2 linked regions of the Saccharomyces cerevisiae S288C genome follow. The gene in region 1 interacts genetically with each later gene. Each region holds a gene or a part of one and is shown on either strand. Other genes may lie near its edges.

The links. A genetic interaction does not mean that the proteins touch.
Region 2: mutations in GDH1 (region 1) and HKR1 impair growth when combined (synthetic growth defect), as found in Saccharomyces cerevisiae (one large-scale study listed by BioGRID).

What each region holds. Positions count from the first base shown.
Region 1 is NC_001147.6:1,040,559-1,044,910, reverse strand, and holds GDH1 (glutamate dehydrogenase (NADP(+)) GDH1), read left to right. Parts: upstream 1-1,868; coding exon 1,869-3,233; downstream 3,234-4,352. Other genes in the region: YOR376W (uncharacterized protein), read right to left, coding at 1,352-1,720; aldehyde dehydrogenase (NADP(+)) ALD4, read right to left, coding at 3,512-4,352. UniProt on the Saccharomyces cerevisiae protein: Catalyzes the incorporation of an ammonium ion into alpha-ketoglutarate to form L-glutamate, the major route of assimilation of ammonia into an organic form in yeast.
Region 2 is NC_001136.10:1,304,440-1,312,484, forward strand, and holds HKR1 (Hkr1p), read left to right. Parts: upstream 1-1,827; coding exon 1,828-7,236; downstream 7,237-8,045. Other genes in the region: RAD30 (DNA-directed DNA polymerase eta), read left to right, coding at 1-633; ARO80 (Aro80p), read left to right, coding at 7,601-8,045.

The DNA.
Region 1 (4,352 bases):
TTCCATTTTCTTCTGCCATTTCATCTTTGGAGTAACTATTATTTCGCCCCTTTTGTTTGCTGCATATCGCCCCGCTCTCTGCATACACGATTGGATAATGACCAAAGCAAGGTTTAATACGCCCACAGTTAGATATCTATAATTTTAGAGTACGATATTCATCATCATAGGCTGAACCTTGCCTTTCCTTGCATTCTTTATTCCCATTGAGGTATATTTTAAAATTTGTTCGGAGGTAAAGAAGGATAAGCTTTTCTAGTAATTTCCCTCCTCGATCGGCCTCAGATTTCCCGTCATAAAATATACGCGCCATGGAGAGATTTAATGACATAGATGTGCCGCAAAAGCATACACAGCGTATTTTCTTTGAGTATTTAATAGGTAAGCTAAGTTTCGTAGCTCGTTAGTAATATTACTCTATGGATTCTGTGCCACTTCTTCAAACAGGGCGCGAAAACCTTGAAGAAGCAGCGCACTTGATGCCCCTAGTGAGAGTCACGTGACGGTTATCCCATTTAAGGTATTCCTGTTGCGACCCCTCTCACACAGATATATCTTGCGGCTAGAGATAGGTTGTGATTAGGAATAGATCTGTAGATGTCTAGAGGAACGGCTAATGATTGGAAACGTCCGAGGAACATGAAGAAAGACGTAAAGTGGTAGCAATTCCGCGCTTGTAACTTGCGTGGCATGACCAGAAAGCCCACTTCTCTATCTGATTGGAAACCAAGTTTCTTCGGAACAATCTCTGCTTCAAGAACCTGCAATTTCGAAAATTTTTACCAAGCCGTCGGCTCCAATCGCGTAAGTGCAAGAAACTTTGCGTAAGCTGATCTTAGATCAGCACTCAAAGCCTTCATATTCTACCAAGAATGACAGCTTCCCAAGTTATTCTGTAAAGTGTAATCTCGCATACAGTAGTTCAGCGACAGAAGCTTCGAAAACTTCTCTTAATGATGGACTCTTCGACAGTAACAAACTAGCACACCGAAGCTCCCGACAAGAAGGAGATGAACTTCTTTAGGTTCAAGTCCGCTAAACTCTACAGTGATTCTGTCCAGCATTGGCTTTTTTTCTTGAATTATTCTAGCGGGCTGTGGCCAGTATACCAACCGAGCCAAACCATATTAGTAACTCCATTCAGTATAAAGTGGCACTGCTTCATGGGGCTGCGATAAAGAGTCCTAGAAGACCATGCGTTCGAGTCGATCTGGGCACCACTCCGCATCTGGGCATAACCTGAATTATACAACAATAACGTGGGGGAGGGCATCGTTTACGATTGGCTGGATAAGAGGATTTCATAAGGAATATGATGCTACATCCACTCAGGTCATTATTCTCTAGTGTATCAGGCTCCCCTTATGCAGGTTCCATGACTCCATGGAAACGGGCCTGATCTTAATAACCTTATCTGACCATCTGATTGGATGGCCTCGATATTCTTATCGCAGAACCAATGCGCCGGAACCGGCCCATGCATTTTCAGTGCGGTGGGGCAATAAAAAAGAAATAGTACGACCCCACGTCCAATCAGCAGAGAGAAGCTGTTATCAGCTGCTGCGCCGTTTTCTTTTTCATCAGGTACCATAATGAAAATCAGCACTGAAAAATTGCGGAAGAAGAAAGCGTAAGAAGTAGCAGCAAAGGCCGGCTTCTTGTTAAAGCAAAGTATACGTAATCTAAGTAAGAGAAGATTGGAAAATTTTCTGTTTTTCATATATAAAATATACGAGAGTTACAAATGCGTTTACCCATTTTATATTCTCTCACTCTTTAAATGACTTTTCTTATAGCATTGAAAGTTGCTTGATACGTACTATCGCATTATTCTAATATAACAGTTAGGAGACCAAAAAGAAAAAGAAATGTCAGAGCCAGAATTTCAACAAGCTTACGAAGAAGTTGTCTCCTCTTTGGAAGACTCTACTCTTTTCGAACAACACCCAGAATACAGAAAGGTTTTGCCAATTGTTTCTGTTCCAGAAAGAATCATACAATTCAGAGTCACCTGGGAAAATGACAAGGGTGAACAAGAAGTTGCTCAAGGTTACAGAGTGCAATATAACTCCGCCAAGGGTCCATACAAGGGTGGTCTACGTTTCCATCCTTCCGTGAACTTGTCTATCTTGAAATTCTTGGGTTTCGAACAAATCTTCAAGAACTCCTTGACCGGCCTAGACATGGGTGGTGGTAAAGGTGGTCTATGTGTGGACTTGAAGGGAAGATCTAATAACGAAATCAGAAGAATCTGTTATGCTTTCATGAGAGAATTGAGCAGACACATTGGTCAAGACACTGACGTGCCAGCTGGTGATATCGGTGTTGGTGGTCGTGAAATTGGTTACCTGTTCGGTGCTTACAGATCATACAAGAACTCCTGGGAAGGTGTCTTAACCGGTAAGGGTTTGAACTGGGGTGGTTCTTTGATCAGACCAGAAGCCACTGGTTACGGTTTAGTTTACTATACTCAAGCTATGATCGACTATGCCACAAACGGTAAGGAATCTTTCGAAGGTAAGCGCGTCACCATCTCTGGTAGTGGTAACGTTGCTCAATACGCTGCCTTGAAGGTTATTGAGCTAGGTGGTACTGTCGTTTCCCTATCTGACTCCAAGGGTTGTATCATCTCTGAAACTGGTATCACCTCCGAACAAGTCGCTGATATTTCCAGTGCTAAGGTCAACTTCAAGTCCTTGGAACAAATCGTCAACGAATACTCTACTTTCTCCGAAAACAAAGTGCAATACATTGCTGGTGCTCGTCCATGGACCCACGTCCAAAAGGTCGACATTGCTTTGCCATGTGCCACCCAAAATGAAGTCAGCGGTGAAGAAGCCAAGGCCTTGGTTGCTCAAGGTGTCAAGTTTATTGCCGAAGGTTCCAACATGGGTTCCACTCCAGAAGCTATTGCCGTCTTTGAAACTGCTCGTTCCACCGCCACTGGACCAAGCGAAGCTGTTTGGTACGGTCCACCAAAGGCTGCTAACTTGGGTGGTGTTGCTGTTTCTGGTTTAGAAATGGCACAAAACTCTCAAAGAATCACATGGACTAGCGAAAGAGTTGACCAAGAGTTGAAGAGAATTATGATCAACTGTTTCAATGAATGTATCGACTATGCCAAGAAGTACACTAAGGACGGTAAGGTCTTGCCATCTTTGGTCAAAGGTGCTAATATCGCAAGTTTCATCAAGGTCTCTGATGCTATGTTTGACCAAGGTGATGTATTTTAAATAGTCTAAAAGAAAGAAAAGAGGAAAGTTCATAAAAAGTTCTTTCTTTTTTTTAAATAACTTAGATAGATAATGAGATAAAAGAAGTAAAAAAACGGAATCGTAACGCAATTAATTAATTAAGAAAATTGATTATCGGGAGAAAAAAATTTTATTTTTTATTTTATTTTCTTTAAAGTACATATATTTGAAATGATGACATGTGGAAATATAACAGAGACAGAATATTTAATTTTATGTATGTAAGCATCGATTGGACACCAGGCTTATTGATGACCTTACTCGTCCAATTTGGCACGGACCGCTTTAACTTGCAAGTAGTTTTGTAAAGCATCAACAGACATTTCCCTGCCCAAACCAGATGCATTGAACCCACCGAAAGGAACTGCGTGGTGGAAATCGTTATAAGTGTTTATCCAGACCGTACCCGCATTAACTCTATCAGCCACTTTTAAGGCGGTATTAATATTAGAGGTGTGAATACCAGCAGCCAACCCGTATTCAGAATCGTTCGCCATGTTAATGACTTCGTCGGCAGATTTGAATTTGGTTACAGTGACAACAGGGCCAAAGATTTCCTCTTTGACAATTCTCATGTCTTCCTTAACGTCACCAAAGACAGTTGGCTTAATGAAGTAACCCTTGCTACCTAATCTTTCACCACCGGTAATCAAAGTAGCACCTTCATTCTTACCAATGTCAACGTATTTCAAGATTTTGTTTAGTTGCATTTGAGAGGTTTGTGCACCTTGGAAAGTAGATTCATCGAATGGGTCGCCCACCTTGATGGATTCAGAAGCGGCTTTGAACTCTTCAATGAATTTGTCGTAAATAGATTCTTCAACATACACCCTTGAACCCGCACAACAGACCTCACCAGAATTGTAGTAGATACCAAGGATAATGTTTTGCACGGCTTTTTTCAACTCGGCGTCCGCGAAGACAATGTTTGGTGATTTACCACCCAGCTCCAAAGTCACTTTTTTCAAGCCTGCGGCTGCGGACTGGTAAATGTGTCTACCCGTAGCCGTGGACCCTGTGAAGGCAACCTTTTTGATTTTTGGATGGTTTGTAATGGCCTCACCCACAATCTTACCAAACCCGGATACAATGTTGATC
Region 2 (8,045 bases), on another chromosome or scaffold:
CTTACGTCCAGGATTCAGGATCTGGAACAGGAGTATAACAAGATCGTAATACCAAGAACAGTATCTATATCTTTAAAAACAAAATCCTACGAAGTATATCGAAAATCAGGTCCAGTTGCGTACAAGGGCATCAATTTCCAGAGTCACGAACTCCTAAAAGTAGGCATAAAATTTGTCACGGACCTTGATATTAAAGGAAAGAACAAAAGTTATTACCCTTTAACAAAACTAAGTATGACAATTACTAATTTCGATATTATAGATTTACAAAAAACTGTTGTAGATATGTTTGGCAATCAGGTCCATACTTTCAAAAGCTCAGCAGGCAAGGAAGATGAGGAAAAAACTACCAGCTCGAAAGCTGACGAGAAAACTCCGAAGTTGGAATGTTGTAAATACCAGGTGACTTTTACAGACCAGAAGGCTCTTCAAGAGCACGCAGACTATCATTTAGCATTGAAACTGTCGGAAGGCTTAAATGGTGCTGAAGAATCATCCAAAAACCTTTCTTTCGGGGAAAAAAGATTGTTGTTTTCACGGAAAAGACCAAACTCACAACATACTGCCACACCTCAGAAGAAACAAGTTACATCTTCCAAAAACATCTTATCATTTTTTACAAGAAAAAAATGACCTATTCCAAATAGACAATTATATGGCTTCAGCAACTAAAACGTCCTGATAATATTGCTTTTCCAAAATTTCTAAATGATTCACGGGCGCCAGGTTTTGTTGATAAGAAGAACGAAGTACCTTTAATATCTTATGATCGGAAAATACCGACTGATGACTTTTGAGACTTCGCTTTTGATCAAAGTGATAACATTATGTACAATATTCATACTAGGATTTCTTGATAGAGATTTGGAAGTCTATAAAAAAGAAACAACTTGTTATAATTTATTTTTGTAGACATGACTCACAGAATATTACATACCTTCATAATATATAAGATCCATGTGATAATGAATGCTGGAAGCATGATCTCTGACCTCAGCTGATTGTTCAGGGGACTTAATCAATTAGATGCGTTTAAAGCAGGAATTGGTTTGATACACACAATCTCATGTTACAAAGTAACGCTGTTTAAAAACAAATCTGAAGAATAATAATGCAAGTAATATTATACATCATAAAAAAGTTATACACTATCATTACTCTTCTGAAGACCAGATTACAATACAAATTAAGGCAACTTGGCCGAGTGGTTAAGGCGAAAGATTAGAAATCTTTTGGGCTTTGGCCCGCGCAGGTTCGAGTCCTGCAGTTGTCGTTATTTTTAATGTTTTTATTTGGTAGCAACAAAATTTGTCAGTCAATTTCTTTTGTTTTTTTCTTTAAAAGGTGTAACAACGTTATCACTCAAGTATTCGTTTCTTATTATCAAAAGTCTTAGACTTTCTATTAATAGCAGTTTGTTCTTTTCCACAACGCGCTAAAGATATTTCGCTTTCTGACCCGTTTGGTTGCAGAAAATTTTTTTAACTAATTTAGGAATATTTAGATTAGTTAATTGGAGGGCTTATTCAAAGACAGTAGTTACAGCGATTTAAAAGCAGTGTCCCTCGTAGGCACCTGTAGTCATTTCATTCGTTTGGATATTTCGCTGTACTGCTTCCTGCATTGTAATCAAGAGAAAGTTTACAACTTAGAGCACTAACTTTGTTTGTAAACATTTTCCGTTTATAATCAATTGCCATATCATCAATTTTATTATCATTCTTTAACCAGTAACTAACTGATTCCGCACCCACATTATTGAAATTTTTGCGATATCTTTTTCCTCAACTGACGCAGTCAACAGTCAGAAACAGAGAATGTATAAAGATGGTCTCATTGAAAATAAAAAAAATTTTACTCCTGGTGTCATTGTTAAATGCAATCGAGGCCTATAGTAACGATACAATATATTCAACTTCATACAATAATGGAATAGAAAGCACACCCTCATATTCAACATCCGCGATATCCAGTACCGGATCTAGCAACAAAGAGAATGCAATAACATCAAGCTCTGAAACCACCACAATGGCTGGCCAATATGGTGAAAGTGGAAGCACAACAATAATGGATGAACAAGAAACTGGTACGTCCAGCCAGTATATTAGTGTGACGACGACAACGCAAACTTCTGACACGATGTCATCAGTAAAAAAGTCTACGGAAATAGCGACACCAAGTAGTAGCATTGTACCCACCCCTTTGCAGTCCTATAGCGATGAATCACAAATATCACAAACGCTTAGTCACAATCCGAAGTCCGTGGCGGAGTCAGATAGCGATACAACCTCCTCGGAATCCTCAAGTAGCGTAATAATATCCACATCCGATAGTTCAGCGGTACCGAGGGAAATAAGTCCAATAATAACCACAGATTCTCAAATTTCCAAAGAAGAAGGCACATTGGCTCAAACTTCCAGTATCAGTGAAACAACGAGAATTGCACAAATGGTAACCAGAGTTTCACAAATCTCCAGCATAACGGCAGCTTCAACAATAGATGGCTTTAGTAGTGAATCAACACAAACAGATTTTTCCAACACTGTATCGTTTGAAAATTCAGTCGAAGAAGAATATGCCATGAGCAAATCCCAGCTCTCTGAAAGTTACAGTTCAAGTTCAACCGTCTATTCTGGAGGGGAGTCGACTGCAGACAAGACATCTAGCTCCCCCATTACCAGCTTTTCATCTTCTTATAGCCAAACAACGTCAACTGAAACCTCTGAGAGCAGCCGAGTGGCTGTTGGAGTATCCCGGCCCTCTAGCATAACGCAAACTACATCAATTGATAGTTTTAGTATGAGTGAAGTAGAGCTTTCCACATATTATGACTTAAGTGCTGGCAACTATCCTGACCAAGAACTGATTGTCGATCGCCCGGCCACTTCTTCCACTGCCGAAACATCTTCAGAGGCAAGTCAAGGTGTAAGCCGTGAATCTAACACTTTCGCAGTATCTTCGATTTCCACGACAAACTTTATAGTTAGCAGTGCTTCGGATACTGTTGTTTCAACTTCAAGCACCAATACAGTGCCATACAGCTCTGTCCATTCAACCTTTGTTCATGCGACTTCCTCGTCGACTTATATTTCTTCTTCCCTTTATTCTTCCCCATCCTTATCTGCATCCGTTTCCTCTCACTTTGGCGTTGCTCCTTTTCCATCTGCTTACATATCTTTCTCATCAGTACCCGTTGCAGTATCCTCGACGTACACGTCTTCACCATCGGCTTCTGTTGTAGTACCTTCTGCCTATGCGTCTTCACCATCAGTACCCGTTGCAGTATCCTCGACGTACACGTCTTCACCATCAGCACCTGCTGCAATATCCTCAACGTACACGTCTTCACCATCGGCACCTGTTGCAGTATCCTCGACGTACACGTCTTCACCATCGGCACCTGCTGCAATATCCTCAACGTACACGTCTTCACCATCGGCACCTGTTGCAGTATCCTCGACGTACACGTCTTCACCATCAGCACCTGCTGCAATATCCTCAACGTACACGTCTTCACCATCGGCACCTGTTGCAGTATCCTCGACGTACACGTCTTCACCATCAGCACCTGTTGCAATATCCTCAACGTACACGTCTTCACCATCGGTACCTGTTGCAGTATCCTCGACGTACACGTCTTCACCATCAGCACCTGCTGCAATATCCTCAACGTACACGTCTTCACCATCGGCACCCGTTGCAGTATCCTCGACGTACACGTCTTCACCATCAGCACCTGCTGCAATATCCTCAACGTACACGTCTTCACCATCAGTACCCGTTGCAGTATCCTCGACGTACACGTCTTCACCATCAGCACCTGCTGCAATATCCTCAACGTACACGTCTTCACCATCAGTACCCGTTGCAGTATCCTCGACGTACACGTCTTCACCATCAGCACCTGCTGCAATATCCTCAACGTACACGTCTTCACCATCGGCACCCGTTGCAGTATCCTCGACGTACACGTCTTCACCATCAGCACCTGCTGCAATATCCTCAACGTACACGTCTTCACCATCGGCACCCGTTGCAGTATCCTCGACGTACACGTCTTCACCATCAGCACCTGCTGCAATATCCTCAACGTACACGTCTTCACCATCGGCACCTGTTGCAGTATCCTCGACGTACACGTCTTCACCATCGGCTCTTGTTGTCCTGTCATCTACTTCCACATCCTCTCCATATGATATTGTTTACTCTCCATCAACTTTTGCTGCCATATCATCCGGTTACACGCCTTCACCTTCTGCTTCTGTCGCCATGTCATCTACTTCCTCATCCTCTCCATATGATATTGTTTACTCTCTATCATCTTCTGCTTCCAGATCGTCCATTGCTACATATGAATTTTCACCTTCCCCATCTACTTCTTTACCCACCTCTTCTACTTACACATACTTTTCATCTGCTTATGCGTTTGAATTTTCTTCTGAGCGGTACTCAACAACATCCACAATAGCACCAACTCAAATACATAGCACATTGTCCAGGATTACGGATTTCTTACTGCAGACTTCGATGGCAATCCAAAGTATAGTCTCTCAGCAAATTTCTACAAGCTCAACTTTAAATGACGAAATACATTCAAGCGCGCTTTCCGTTTTCAACCCTTCAGCTTCGAATTTGGTTGAAACTTCTCTGATAATTTCATCGACCCAAGCAAGCATAACAAGCCCCAAAAACTCAGCTAAAATTAGTTCACTACAGAGCCAGCTGTCTAGCAGTACAAAAAATCCATACGATACGGCGAACAAGAATACTGAGACCAGTGGCAGATCCACAGTTGTTTCGAATTTCCTATACACATCTTCCGCGGCGAAACCAGACAATGAAAAGTTTTCCGCTACTCCTACAGAGATAACTACAATTTCAAGTAGCTCGCACGCATATTCTTTATCTATTCCAAGTTCTCATAATTCTGTGACTGGACTATCACATAACTTTGTCGATTCGTCAAAAAGTGCAACCTCATTTGGCTACTCATCCTCATCAATATCTTCAATAAAACTTTCAAAAGAAACAATACCTGCAAGTAAATCTGTTTCAAACACACAAGAAAGAATCACAAGCTTTACATCAACATTACGAGCAAATAGTCAGTCTGAAAAATCCGAAGGGAGGAATTCTGTAGGTTCTTTACAAAGTTCACATATTTCATCTAACCCATCGCTCTCCACAAATACAAAGGTTGATTCGAAAAGTTTATCCAGGAAAGTATCGAAAACCATGGGCGAAAATGGCGAGGAAACCGGCTTAACCACAACAAAGACGCAATACAAAAGTTCTTCTGAAACCAGTGGGTCATATTCTCGGTCTTTTACAAAAATCTCAATTGGACCTGCTACGACTGCAGTTCAAACTCAGGCAAGCACTAATTCAGTATTCACAGCCCCTGCCTTGTCTACCTATCCTACTACTCCGTACCCCTCTCCAAATAGTTACGCATGGTTACCTACCGCTATTATAGTGGAATCATCCGAAACGGGCCCCACTACCGCATCATTCAATCCGTCAATCACTGGTTCACTTCCCAATGCAATTGAACCGGCCGTCGCTGTATCGGAACCCATTAACCACACTTTAATTACCATCGGATTCACGGCCGCTTTGAATTATGTATTTTTGGTTCAAAATCCATTATCTTCGGCTCAAATCTTCAACTTTTTACCTCTCGTTTTGAAGTATCCCTTTTCAAACACCTCATCAGAACTGGACAATAGTATTGGGGAATTATCCACTTTTATTCTTTCATACCGGTCTGGGAGCAGCACAACTACCCTTTCCCCAAAATCCATATCATCATTATCAGTTGTCAAGAAAAAAAAAAACCAGCAGAAAAAAAATGCCACGAAGTCAACCGAGGACTTACATCCTCCACAAGTCGACACATCCTCAATAGCGGTGAAAAAGATTGTTCCCATGGTAGACTCTTCTAAGGCATACATTGTATCAGTTGCAGAGGTATATTTTCCAACAGAAGCCGTAACATATCTTCAGCAATTAATCCTTGATGAAAATTCGACTCTTTATAGCAATCCTCAAACCCCACTGCGAAGTTTAGCTGGTCTAATAGATAGTGGGATCCCATTAGGGGGATTGACGTTATATGGCTCTGGAGATGGTGGTTATGTCCCTAGTTTAACCTCATCAAGCGTCTTGGATTCTTCAAAAGGAAATTCCCAAAACATAGATGGAACTTACAAGTATGGAGCTTTGGATGACTTTATCAATTCATTCACAGATTCTGCATCTGCAGGAAAGTATGCTGTAAAAATAATCATCTTTTTGATTGTTTTAACTATTGGCGTACTCTTGTGGTTATTCGTTGCATTTTTTGCTTTCCGTCATAGAAATATATTATTGAAAAGACACCCAAGGAACTGCATAGGGAAAAGCCTCAATAATGAGAGGGAACTTGAAAGTACCGAGCTTTCCCGCTCTTCTTCTGGAAACCAAGTTTATAATGAAAAGCCGCCAGAATCTGAAAATGAAAGTGTTTACTCTGCGGTAGATGATCATTATATTGTGACTGGCGAAAACACAGTCTATAATACTATTCACAGATTACATTATACCATTAATGATGACGGTGATCTATTGTACAGGGACGCAATCCCCCTCGATTTTGATCAAACCAATGGGGATGATGGTTCGGGAATAGACAGTATAGTAAGAGACTGCGTGTATGACAAAAACCAAGATGCTACGGAAGCCTTCTTGAATGATGAGGAGTCCATATCAGGCATTCTAGATGTTGATGAAAATGGTGATATTCGATTATACGACAGTTATTCTGACAATGAAGAGTCAAACAGTTTTCACTTGCCAGACGAAGTTATTGAAAACTATAACAAGAACCATTTGTGCGAAACTAAACTTCATGGACTAGGCACTGAATCATGTACTACAGATGATCCCGATACTGGAAATCAAATTACGAATGAGTTTTCTACAGGGAGTCAGACATGTTTGCCAAGTACCGCTTATACCACACCCCTTCATACAAATTCGATTAAACTTCACACATTACGCTACACAGAATCTTCACTACCAAAGCCAAATCAGACTCTTTTCTCTAATCTTGAAGATTTAGAAATAGAGGATATTGACGACAATGGTAGTGTTTCAGATGTACATATCGAGGAGCTGGATGCTTTAGACGAAGAACTTTATAAGAGAATGTCGAAAGTTATAAAACAACAGAACCATCAAACGACAAAAATATAGCGAAAAATGATTATTGACTGTGCAATAAACGCTGCTGGAAGGGGCGCTTGCAACAAAAGATGATCACAAAAATTGATACCCATTAATACACATAGGCTCACGCCATTACTATTATTATATATATCATCAAGTATTGCATTTGTAATTTTATGAGTCCTTCTTAGTAATACATGAAGGCTTTTTTTTAATATTTTCGGAATCAACGAGAGTACACTATTCTATCCGATGATAACCGAGATAAATGAAGATAGTAACTAACCAATGAAAAAAGAGCGAGAATAAATTAAAGCAATAATATCAAGTTAGTCGTGGGAATATATGATCCACGCATAATAAGGTTACATTAAGCACTGCTTTATCCTCTATGTCTGCTAAGAAAAGGCCTTCGGGAAACGCAGCATTTGAACTTCCAAAACGGAGAAGAACCTACCAAGCTTGCATCAGCTGCAGATCAAGGAAGGTGAAATGTGATCTTGGTCCGGTTGATAACCCACACGACCCACCGTGTGCACGTTGCAAAAGGGAGCTAAAAAAATGTATTTTTAGCTCTAATAAGGGAACTTCGAACGACTTGCCTCCTAATTCGATTAATGCAATAAGTCTGCCATCTCTAGGTAAGAGTAAGCAAGAGATACAAAATGACTCAACGAGCCCAATTTTATCGGATGTACCTTTGTCAAGAAAAGGGATTAGCAGTGAAAAATCATTTAAATCAGAAGGGATGAAGTGGAAGCTTGAACTTTCCTCCATGCAGAACGCCCTAGAGTTTCTGGCCCAAGCTGCTGGAACTGTAGCAAAAGAAGGCGCAA